2 linked regions of the Caenorhabditis elegans genome follow. The protein of the gene in region 1 interacts with the protein of each later gene in a pairwise test. Each region holds a gene or a part of one and is shown on either strand. Other genes may lie near its edges. The genes, in order: F23H12.5 and gap-3.

The links.
Region 2: the proteins of F23H12.5 (region 1) and gap-3 interact in a two-hybrid assay, tested with the Caenorhabditis elegans proteins (one large-scale study listed by BioGRID).

Annotation. Positions count from the first base shown.
Region 1 is NC_003283.11:12,357,025-12,364,630, forward strand, and holds F23H12.5 (Flocculation protein FLO11), read left to right. Parts: upstream 1-1,622; 5' UTR 1,623-1,680; coding exon 1,681-1,750; intron 1,751-2,177; coding exon 2,178-2,299; intron 2,300-2,493; coding exon 2,494-2,626; intron 2,627-2,844; coding exon 2,845-2,916; intron 2,917-2,960; coding exon 2,961-4,129; intron 4,130-4,173; coding exon 4,174-4,251; intron 4,252-4,276; exon of another isoform or gene 4,277-4,394; coding exon of another isoform or gene 4,395-4,608; intron 4,609-4,664; coding exon of another isoform or gene 4,665-4,678; exon of another isoform or gene 4,679-4,720; intron 4,721-4,958; coding exon 4,959-5,303; intron 5,304-5,728; coding exon 5,729-5,849; intron 5,850-5,896; coding exon 5,897-6,004; intron 6,005-6,209; coding exon 6,210-6,400; 3' UTR 6,401-6,729; coding exon of another isoform or gene 6,730-6,786; 3' UTR 6,787-6,831; downstream 6,832-7,606. Other genes in the region: fipr-1 (FIP (Fungus-Induced Protein) Related), read right to left, coding at 4,395-4,608, 4,665-4,678; Receptor-type guanylate cyclase gcy-13, read right to left, coding at 6,730-6,786, 6,832-6,926, 6,973-7,141, 7,186-7,290.
Region 2 is NC_003279.8:2,007,477-2,012,602, reverse strand, and holds the start of gap-3 (SH2 domain-containing protein), read left to right. Parts: upstream 1-2,077; 5' UTR 2,078-2,123; coding exon 2,124-2,183; intron 2,184-2,345; coding exon 2,346-2,438; intron 2,439-2,504; coding exon 2,505-2,599; intron 2,600-2,643; coding exon 2,644-2,773; intron 2,774-3,832; coding exon 3,833-4,015; intron 4,016-5,036; coding exon 5,037-5,126.

The sequences.
Region 1 (7,606 bases):
TGCAATCAACAACGCTTCATTTTTCTCTGCAGTGTTATGCCAAGAATAATTCGAAAATGCGCACACCTGGCTACCAATAAGTTAGCGACCTGTGTGGTGCAATGCATATTCAATTGTATACGCGGTATCTGTCTACAGAGATGTCATTATTGAGCAATGTCTTCTGTTTTCAGATTCTGAATTTAAAATTCTTTATCACTTTTAACGACATAAGCTGCTAGAGACGTACGCCAGTCACGTAGTCGTCGTGAAGTTCGGTTTTGCTACATATCGATTGGCTGCCAATAATAATGAGTGCAATATTCGAGGGAAATCCTAAGCGTAAGCCTAAGCCTGAGCTCCATTATACTTTGAGTTTGAAAATAGTGTACGGGAAATTCCTATACTTCATTCTCTCAATTGACAGCCATGTGTTCCTTATAAACTTTTTGTTTCATGGATAGAGCAGGTGTGAAAACAGAGTGCTTTCCTCGAAAAACAATAAAACTTGGCCTCATTGACTACCCGGCGCCATTACAGAAACATGCGAGGCGCCGAAGAAAAAGATAATCTCACTAGATAAACTTTGAGGACGAAATGCCTAAAGAGACCGAGAAATGCGCAGGTTAAACACAGGGTTTTGACATCCGTGAGAATATTAATATTGAAAACGATTTGAAAAATCATCCAGAGAATGATAAATTCCGAAATTCGTTCTTTTCATCACAGCATGTGGCTTTCCTTGTCTCTTTTCTTTTTCCCAATTAACGGCTGATTCCCCATATCTCTTCACATTATTCTTATACGACTTTCACCCGAATGACCCCCTCTATCCGAAAAGAGAATTTGGATGAAAGGAAGCTAACCGACTGGAGACAACCTTTATTGAGACACACACACCGCACATCCTTTTGTCTTTCATCTACTTTTTATATTTATTCCTTTATAGAACTTTTCACTTTTTTTGTGTGAAATACAAGCAGGAACGAACATTTTGATGATTTCATTTTTATCATACTTTATTCACAGCTATCATTCTTCTTTAAATACGAAAAACTTCAGATTAGAGAATAAATTCAAATAGAGTATTTGGAAAAAAGAAGTATTCTTATGCAGTCTTGCACTCAATTTTTTTACTTTGACATCGTGTAGTTCGAATATTTTTGGTTTTATCAAAACTTTTTCAAGAAACGAAATACGCGCCAACAAATTTTCTATGATTTAATACTTCAATAATTTTTGGTAAAATTAAAGACAACCGAAATATGAGCTGTCGAAGTAGACTAAAACTGGTACCATAGGAAAATTACGGTCTTTTCATATTTCTGAAAATACAGCGAAGATTTCTTTTAAGTATTTCTAATTTGACCCACAACTTTTGTCTCTTTTAATTCTCACAAACAAATACTCAACTAAATAAATGTAACCGTTAGCCAAATAATTCAATGCCATTTTTTTTGTTTTTCTTAGAAACTCTCCAACTTCGCATTGATTGATCTTTACCTCAGATATCCGTTCCTGTCTCTTTTTACCGTCACCTTATTCGCCACTCTTCTCAAGATTTTTAAGATTTCCATCTTTTTCGAGAAACACGCTCACCGGTATCAGAAAAAAAAGAAGAAAAAATACTTGTTCCTTTTCAGGATCATCCAGAAGACATAAAAACAACGGGAAGATTCAGTTATTTCAATATTTGGAAGAATGCGGATGAAACTTCTTTTTTTATTTCTCATGTCACTTATGGCATTTACCACATCACAATATGAACCATGTAAGATTTGAAAAATGTAATTTATTGGCTGAAAATATTTAATTTTAATTTAAACATTTTGAAGCTCCAACAAACAATTCAACTTTAAAAAATATTACAAACTAAAGCTGGAGGAGCGTCAAACTTTTCATAGCCCCCAAAAAACTGAAAATGACCCTAATTTTGTTCATGAGACCTACGTATTTCAGAATTTTCAAAAAAAAAATAATCAAGATTTTTACAAAAAGGCCAAACTGACAAAAGTAATTCAGCCAAATTATTCAATTTTGAAAATTTGTACGTTTCGAAATTTTAATACCACTTTATATAGTCTTGTTCATCAAAATTTCAAAGCGCAGATTTTCCATGAAGAAAAACTTTCGAGACCATTTTGATATTTGAACACCGAGTTTAAAAATTGTTTTACATAATTATTTAAATATTTCAGTATCAGTAATATCATCGTCTTGGTCAATGTGGTCTCCGTGGTCATTTTGTTCAAATAATTTAATGATTCGTGTTCGTGCTTGTTCGACAGTCCGTGGATACAAATGTCTCGGTCATAATAAGGTAAGAATGCTTTCCCAGTTCAGGGCGTTGGTTGAGACACTAGTAATGTCACACAATTTTATCATTTTGATGTTCTCCTATCACTAACCCACATTCGTCGTTTCTCTCGACCCATTGATAATTAACGTGTCGAAAAAGGATTAACTTTTCAAGGGCGTTTAACCGAATTGTTTTTTCAATGAAGTATTTTTCAGGAATTTCAATCCTGTAACTCTCCACCAAAGAGAAATAGTTTGGATTATGAAGATCCTGAGACAGCTGATCGAGAAATGGCAATGAAACAATTATATCAAGATTATGAACCAGAAATTCCGGATGAAGCAAAGTGTTCGTTTTAAAAAATTGTTTCATAAACTGAAATTTGGAAAAAAACATTCAAAAAATCATCAAAACTTATTTTAAAAAGAAGTTTGAATGCATGTTACATTTTTACTTGGGAATCCAGTAATAATATCGATTTGACTAATTGCAAATTTAAATAATTTTTTCAATTTTCCAAAAAATTATTTTTCCAATTCTAAAAGAAAAAAATTAAATTAATTTAGATGCTCAAACTCGTGGAAATCGAAATTTTCACATGATATCTCAAACTACTGCAATGCCACCAGCTCCAAGAGGTTTTTTTAAATAGTGTTATGCTCAACAACCGATTACTTTACAGCACCGACATCTTCTCCAACTGTTTCCGCATCGACATCTGATCATTTCTCGGTGATGAATCGTGGTGGAACTGGTGTTGGAATGATGACTGATGAGGAAGAAGAATATTTTGATGAGACTGTAAAAATGTCTCCACAATCTCCAAAACCAACATATCCATCTGTTCCAAGTACATTTGAGTTTGAAAAGTATCCAAAGAGCACTGAAGAACCAACATCAACTCCTTCAACTTCAACATCTACAACTACTACAACCACAACTTCAACGACGACGACGACGACAGAAGCTCCAACAACCACAACAACAATTAAAACAACAACTGAATCAATTGAACCGATTCCACAAACCGTAACCCCAAATTCACCGAAAATTGTCGATCACGAGGCATTTGTTGAGCCAGAAGATGTGAATTTCCGTGGAAAATACACACTTGAAGAACCGCTTCCAGAAGTTTCCGTTCCAACATTTGCGGCTCCACCGGGAACTCAGACACCCGATTTTGAACTGGAAACTGAATCAACTGAAACCCCATCAACTCCATCATCGTTCCCAATTGATATGGATCCAGAAGACAGTACCGATGGGTCCACACACAGTGTTGGCTCATATTCGATTGGAAAAGAGCCAATGTGGGGAGAAGAGCCGGTTCCACTGGCTTCAAACACCCAAGCACCGTCAAGAAATATGCCAACTTTTGCCATTTCACCAAGCACTAGGCGACTTGGAGAAGTTAGACGAGCTCCTTCAACAGTGAATACACATATTGAAATGCCCATGTCTATGCTCCCATTTGTACCAACTGCAGCTGAAGAACCTCAAACTACTAGTTTCGAAGTGGAAACAACTACAGAAATTCCTCAACCATCATATCTGCAAAACCCAAGAATAGCTCTTGTCACATCTCAACAGAACTTCCAACATTTCCCAAAGCTCATGAATGAACAAAGAGCTTCACCAGGACCTTACTTTAGAACTGTTCCAAGTCCTTCCGAATATGATGAACCCACAACAACCAAGAAACCAAAAATAGTTACTGTTGAAATTACAAATAAACCATTGAAGAAGAAGAGAAGAAATAGAAGGTTGAAAAAATTAAACAGACTGGGAAAAATCAGAACAATGGCAGTACTTCCAACAGAGTACACTATTCCTGCTACTAAGCCAATGAAAGTACGAAAAATTGTATTTATAATAAAACGAATATTGTTTTACAGCCAATGCCAACTCCTGCCAAATACGAGATTCAAGAAGAAAATTTTATTGCTCCGAAGGCTACTGAACCTTCTGCCTCTGTAAGTCTTGCAATCGGAAAAGTAATGATCGATCAAAATATTTTATTCATTTTCAAAGATTTAAAATTCAAATTGTCCTTGTCATTAATATCAGTACTTGAGTTGTGGTCGGCATGTTCGATGGCTCAGTAGTAAGATGTTCCCTACTGATTATTTTGTTGTTGGCTTGGACCAAATCCAGCTTCTCTCTTTCCGTAATATCCATATCCTCCATAGTATGGGTATCCGTATCCGTAATAGCTACCGTATCCATAATAGGAAGATGGGTATCCATATCCTCCATATCCGTATCCATAGTATTGAGCATCAGTCTCAGCAACAAAAGCGCAGATGACGAGGAGAGAGACAAGAATGAGACTGAAAATTTATTGGTGAAATCTTGATTTTTTTTTAGTGTTATGGGAGAAACTTACAGTTTAGCGTTCATTTTGAGTGAAGTTTGAAGAATGAGCTAGAAAAGCTGATTGATGAATAACTCGAATACCTTTACTTTTATACTCTTTGAACTGATGTTTGCTCTGCACCCGCCGCAGGCAGTCAATTGTTTTTTCTTCATTTTTCAAACTGCCCATCGGTTTGACGCCCCAAAAATTTAGTTTGCTCAGGTTTTGACAGTTAAGAATGTAAAGGCAGAGCATCAAAGTCTAAGTTTACTCATTCCAAAGAGAATAGCCATTCACCTCACAATCAAGTCTTTTGATTTTCAGGAACCCCAGCCAACAAGGGCTTCGGAAAAAGATCGTCAAGTCTACGAGGAAAATCGAGAGCTGGAATCAAGAATAGCTGCTCTAAGAAATAAAGTGGAAATGAACAGGAAAATTCTAGCAACTATGAAAATACCAGAAGGGGTTGAGACACCAGTTGTCACAACAACTCAGAAACCATTAAAAGCATCTGAAGATTTGATGTTAGGAGGTGACACGGCTAGAGCACTTTCATGGATGATTAATGATATGGAAAGAATGGTAGATGATAAAACAAAAACTGAAGTTTCTGATCAATTACCTGTCGAGAAAATTGAAGAAGAACCAATTGGATTCAGGATAGGAGATGTAAGTTTCCTTTTTTAGCCAAAAAATAGCCAAGAATTTAATTTTAAAAATTCAAAGTTGTTTTAGATAATTTTTCTTGGAATAGCATTTGACAATTATTCTACAATATTTAAATGTTTCGGCATGCTACCATTTTTTTTAATTTTAAGATTCAGTGTCGATATATGGAAAAAAATAAATTATTCTGAAAATAAATATTAGTTGCAAAATTAAAAAAAAGATAAAACTTTTAACTTTTCAAATAAAAAAAAATTATTTTCTAAATATTAATTTTTCTGAAATTATTATCCAAACTGCCAAAAATAACTTCCGCACATTCATGCTAGAGTCCCGACCTTTTAACCGATTTTTCAAGAATTTTAAAATCTGAATTTTTCGAAAGTGAAGTTTCGTATTCCTCATTCATCTGGTTGTTTTTTTTTCAGTTTGAATCCGATGAAACAACAACTACAGTAAGCCCATTCCCATTCCCAATTCCTGAAAATGGATTTGCTCTGATTCGATCCAAGCGTGATGCTTCAACTCAATTCAAAAATGGAAAGAAAGGTAATTCGTTTTAATCAACTCCATTCTATTATCAGTTGATCTTATAGTTATCTGGTCTCCATGGAGCGAGTGGACCAAGTGTCAATGCGGCAAACAATCTCGGAAACGAAAGTGTCTCAAATATCTTGGCGGTTCAAAGTATGCGTACGATGATCGTAAGTTTGTTTGAGCTATTATTTGCCACTTTTCTCATTCTTTTTCCATCAAATTACTCCTCGTGCCAATGAATGGCCGTCCAATTATCATTAAATATTTGCACGTGATCGAAACACACTTGAGAAATAGATATCGAAAAAATTGTTGAATTGAACCTAATTGAAACCTAATGGGAGTAACAATGAACAAGAAACTTATTTATAGAAAAGTTCATTCCAATTGACCAATCTACAAACGATATTGAATTTGGTGAACCAGCAGAATTTCCAGAAGAACTTGAAGAACCAGCTCCGATGGATAGTCAAGAATATGAGAACTTAAATCGAGTAAAAAGATCACTAAAATGCCCATCACCTCAGATTGAAGTTCAATCATGTTCTTCTTCTGTTTGCTAATATTAATATTTTTTAGATCTGAAAATTTTAATTGCATTCCTTGGATTCTCAAAGCATATTTTCAAATTTCATTGTACATCACTTCCAACATCGCCCACTTTTTCTCTAATAACATAATAAGACTTCTTCAGATTTTCCATCCGCTAGCAATATGGGTATAACATGAGACATAACACACTATTTTGTAATCTGTCACGCTTTTAAAGATCATATTTTCATGTTTCTATATTTATTTTCAATTTGAAATAAATTTATAAATCTCTTTCTATTCATATGATATGTTTTCTTGTTTTCTTGAGGTGGTCTTGATTTCTAGGATTTCGTTGTTTTTATGCACTTTCTTCTTTCATTCCAAGAAGCCAGTAGGTCTGCATTACTCCTTTTCCCTGCAAGATTACGGTAGACGAGTCAATGTTTTAATTCAAACAAACCTTAATGATAACTTCTCCTCTACTTTCAGTATTGTATTCCTTGTATAATGAGGTCAATAAGTCATAACAATCAGACGATAAATGAATAAAACCCGCTGAAATATAATTTTTCAAAAGTTAAAAGTCTAGTTACAAACTAACGTTTTCCATTACTTTCCATTCGACTGGCAGTGTTCACAGTATCACCAAAAAGACAATATCTTGGCATTGTCAATCCAACAACACCTGCTACACAAGATCCAGAATGCATTCCAATTCGGATTTGAACTTTTTCTTGTGGTAAATGTGGGATTTTGAAGGCTTGAAGGCTCTGTAATGTTAAATGAAATGAGGAAAGATGATTTAAAAACTTACGTCCATCAGCTCCAAACTCATATTGGCAATATTTGCAACATGTTCCGTACCATTTCGGCGAGGTAGCCCAGAGACAACTAAATAGGCGTCGCCGATCGTTTCTACCTGGAAATAAAATCCTTATTGAACGTTATTAATTTTGTGAACTCAGTATACATCCAACAGATTTTTTTAAAATAAAATTATTTTCAAGAATTGTTTTTAAAATAAAAATTTCAACATTTTTTTTTTGAATCACGGCTTCGATCGAAATTATCCAATCTCGCTAATTTGACCGAATCTAGTTATCATTTGTTTTCACTCATATCATATGTTGATTGATTATTTTTTAAATTACTTAAAAAAATGTTTAGTCGGATACCGTACTAAAAGTTTTCCAACTTTTTTTCAAAATTTTATATGGCCATGAAAAAGTTTTGAG
Region 2 (5,126 bases), on another chromosome or scaffold:
GAACACCGAGCCAAATTTTTAGTATAACAATTATTTTGAAAATTATATTACTAAATTACCAAAAAATTTTCCACGGAGTTCTGGTCTTCCTCGTTGAACTTTTCGCGCTCCATTGACAACCGCCTGCCGGATAACGCGTGGGAAAGTCGTGTACTCCACACGGACAAATACATTTAGTTTTACAACTAAAATCGAGCCGCGACGCGACACGCAACGCGCCGTAAATCTACCCCAGGTATGGTAGAGCCAAGATGGCCTAGTTCGGCAAAAACTCTTTTATTTCAATATATGAGGGAAGCCAGAAATCCGTGAATTTTTATTCAATTTTTTTTTTCAAAATTTTTTGTTTCAAAAAAAAAACGAAAAATTTAAAACAATTCAAATATCCTTTGAGGGCGGTAAACTTCAAAATTTAAAAAAATTTCTCAATTTTTGAATTTTAGGTTATATAACCGGTTATAAGAATTTAAAATTAAAATTCTTTTAGAAAAAAAAATATTGCAACAAAAAAAAAAAAAAAAACTTCCTCCGAGTAATAATAATTGGCAAAAAAAAAGAAAAAAAGAAGAAGCCCGGAGGAGCAGGAGCTGGTACTTGTCCCATTAATTTTCCTTTTTTTCTTCAAACAATAAAAAACAGCTGAATTTTACGGCAAAACTGCTCTAAAAATGTAAAATTTCATTGAAAAAGTAGGCGCAGCCAATACACCATGTGGTGTTTTGGCGCTGTCTCCACACGCAAGTAGTGCCAGGGGCTGTCCCAATACGGTTTGATCTACAAAAAATGCGGGAATTTTTCGCCCAAAAAAATGTGACGTCAGCACGTTCTTAACCATGCAAAATCAGTTGAAAACTATGCGTCTCTTCTCCCGCATTTTTTGTAGATCAACGTAGATCAAACCGAAATAAGAGACACTCTGACACCACGTGTACACGTTTAAACTTTTCCAGCTGTAAAAAATAAAATTTTCAAAAAAAAAACATAATTTTTAATCACATGTCTTGTTATCACTGTGTTATCTGTTATCACAACGACAATTTTTTTCACGAAAATTCTTTATTTTTAGGTATTACCCAAAATATTTGAATAAATTCCAAAACTTTCCGTGTTCTCCGTCCTCCATTTCCCACTTTCACAAATGGTCCATCATCCGAACTTCCGGTGCTCTCTCTCTCGCTGTACAAGAGACACAGAAAACCGAGAGAGAGACAGTGATTCGTGGTAGAGACGCAGACACATATACACACACACAGAAAAGTGATCTGGTGTCTGTGTGTGTGTGTGTATATTGTGAGAAAGAAGAAGAAGAAGACTGCGTGGGTGTAATAATATGCGTCCTTTTCTCCCCCCTTCTCTTTCGATTTCTTTTCTTCAACTTTTATCACTTTATTCACAACCTATTTCCTACCGTTTACCACCTTTTTTTTTGAGGAAACTTTGAATTTTTATTGAAATTGTTCAAGCTTGATTCCACGGAGTTGAAATCTACCAAATTCAAATTCCACTGCCTTCCCCGGGTTTTTTTTCCATTTCGATGGGTTTTTTAAAAAGGAATTAAAAAAAACGTTTTGTTTTCAAATTAAAAATTTAAAAAATAGACTGAAAATTAGCAAAACTGGGATTAATCCCACGGAGTTGAAATCTACGGAGTTCACTTTCCACTGCCTCCTCCGGATTTTGTATTTTTTAAACATTTTCTAGTACTTTTCGATGAAACTTTGCATTTTTTCACCTAAAATTAAAAAAAAAGTTTTCTAATTAGCTGAAAACGATAAAAATAAGAAAAAAAAAACATTTGCGGAGTTGATATCTATGGAATTCACATTCCAAAATCAGGCCAAGACAATTAAATATTGTTTTTTTTTAGCTTCCAGCGCAAATTTTCGAATTTCCAAACAAAATTTTGGTTTAAAACTCTAATTTTCTACCTGAAAATCAGGTTTTTTCATCGAAAATCATCGAAAATTAATTAAAATTCAAATTTCCCTCCATTTCCCCAGTACGTACACCGTCACGCAAAATTGCGTACCCGTCCGATTTTTCGCATTTTTTTGAATTTGTTTTCCTGTTTTTTGATGAAAATCAATAATTTTTTGGCATTTTTCAGGTGCAAATGAAAAGTTATGCACTCAAGCGAGAATACTACACCTAACAGCAGCACGGAAGGGCCATTGTTTCTAAAAGTGAGGGCGAAACAAGTGAAAATCGAGGAAAAAAAGGAAAAATTAGAAAAAATTAGAAAAATACCATTTATATTATTTATTTTCATCGAAAATCAATTATATTTACAGTTTAAAATATTCTAAAAAATCCTAAGTTAAAAAAAAGGAATTGTTTTTTCGCAGACTCACACGAACCCAACACCGCCTGATATATCGCCAAACGATGTGTGGTACCATGGGGAATTAAACGAACACGATGCCAATCATTTGCTTCAGGTTTCTTTTGCGAAAAATTACAAAAAAAATGGCAAAAAATGGCAAAAAACCGGCAAAACATTCCAGGGCACATCTCCCGGCGCGTTTTTGGTTCGGCAAACTGGCCAGACGAGATTTTATCTGTCGATATTGGATCAAGACGGCTATCCGAAACATTTACCGTTGGTTTTTAAACATAAAAATTTAAAATTCAAATTTTTTTCAGCATCCGCCAACTCACCCCACCTCACTACTTTTTCGAAGGAAAGCGTTTCGAGACCCTTCGAGATATTGTAGATGCCTATCAGCTGGCTGTGATTCCAGTTCGAAAAGGAGGAATTATGCCGATTAATGGGGTATTTTTTTGCCCCATTACGGTTTGATCTACAAAAAATGCGGGAATTTTTCGCCCAAAAACATGCCAAATCAGTTGAGAACTCTGCCGCATTTTTTGTAGATCAACTTTATTCAAGCCAAAATAAGACACTCTGACACCACGTGTGATACACCATATTTGACGCGCAAATTTTTGCATTATTGGATAATTTGTTGGATTTTAAAGTGATTTTTCAGAGAAAAAAAAGAAATTTATAATATTGCGCGTAAAATAGAGTGTCTTGAGTCTGTAATCGAGTAGATCAAATTTAACGCGCAAATTTAATTTAAAAAAACAATTAAATTACTCCATGTCTTACGAAAACACAAAATTCTGAGAATGTGTATCACACAACATATTTGACGCGCAAAATATCTCGTAGCGAAAACTACAGTAACCCTTTAATTGACTACTGTAGCGCTTGTGTCGATTTACGGAAGTCAATTATTAATCAATAAAATTAAATTTTAAAAGAAATCTCAAAAATGGCAAAAAAATACAATTCTCATTGGTTTTTTCGTTATTTTTTGCCATTTTTGTGTTTTCTTTTAAAATTTAATTTTATAGATTAATAAATGATTTCCGTAAATCGACGCAAGAGCGCTACAGTAATCATTTAAAGGGTTACTGTAGTTTTCGCTACGAGATATTTTGCGCGTCAAATATGTTGTGTAATACGCATTCTCAGAATTTAGTCTTCCCGTAATAATTTATAATTTGTGCGTCAAATATGACGAATTGGTCAGAATATCGATATACACGAATATAAAGTTTTGTAGAATTATCTGTAATAGTAGTAGTTTTTGCGCGTAAAATATGGTGTATTGAGTCCGTAATCGAGTAGATCAAATTTAACGCGCAAACATGTCCACGTGGTCTCATTTCGGTTTGATCTACTTAGATCTACAAAAAATGCGGCAGAGTTTTCAACTGATTTTGCAAAAAATTCCCGCATTTTTTGTAGATCAAAACGTAATGGGACAGTCGCTGGCACCCCGTGCATGCCGGAATTTTAATATACCATAAAATTTGTTTCCAGGAAATCCAAGAAACCAAGTACCTATGCGTTAGACGATTCGAACAACGCGAAATCGACGAAATGAACTCGGAAATCGGTGATATTCTGTCAGTTTGTGAGACCGACGAGACCGGATGGATGTTAGGACGAAATGAGACGAGCGGTTCCGTTGGAATTATTTTAAGATCACATTTGGAACCTTTGGTAGGGAAAAGTAGGAAAGACTGGAAATTTCTAACTGAAAATTTGAAAATTCTAGGAAAAAACTGATGAAAAATTACAATTTTTAAGCAAAAAAATGTTACGTTTTTTTTCACAATTTTCTACAAAAAATTTAAAAAATTAATTAAAAAAGGCGAAATTGTGCTAATATTACGGGAACACAAAATTCTGAGAATGCGTATTGCACAACATATTTGACGCGCAAAACATAAAAATATCTCGTAGCGAAAACTACAGTAACCCTTTAATTGACTACTGTAGCGCTTGTATCGATTTACGGAAGTCATTTATTAATCAATAAAATTAAATTTTAAAAGAAAACACAAAAATGGCAAAAAAAAATTACGAAATGTCATTTTTGAGTTTTCTTTTAAAATTTAATTTTATTGATTAATAAATGATTTCCGTAAATTGACACAAGCGCTACAGTAGTCAATTAAAGGGTTACTGTAGTTTTCGCTAAGAGATATTTTTATGTTTTGCGCGTCAAATATGTTGTGCAATACGCATTTTCAGAATTTTGTGTTCCCGTAATATCTAATGTAGGCTTTGGCGTACCAAATACACTTATTTTGGTACAAAATCGCGGCGAGACCCATTTATAAATTGCCTACCTAATGCCTGCCTGCTGAAAAAAAAAACAAAAAAATTTTTTTTTTTTGGTCCAAGCTGGATTTCTCCAATTTATTAACACTATTTGAGAAAATCGATAAATCTCGATTTTCGGGGGCAGAAAAATCAATAAATTAACACTATTCAAGAAAATCAATAATTTGCCAAATTTTTGGAAAATTCGATAATTCACGTGGTGTCAGATTGTCCCATTACGGTTTGATCTACAAAAAATGCGGGAATTTTTTTTCCAAAAAAATGTGGCTTCTTCAGCACGCTCTTAACCATGCGAAATCAGTTGAGAGCTCTGCCGCTTTTTTTTGTAGATCAGCGTAGATCAAGAGACACTCTACAACACCGCGTGAAATTCTCAGATTCCGTGCTTTTACAGATCACAGAGGTGGCCGATTTGTCGGATCTACCGTACTTCTACGATACAGTATCCACGGACATGGTGCAATACAGCCCCATTGGCACATTT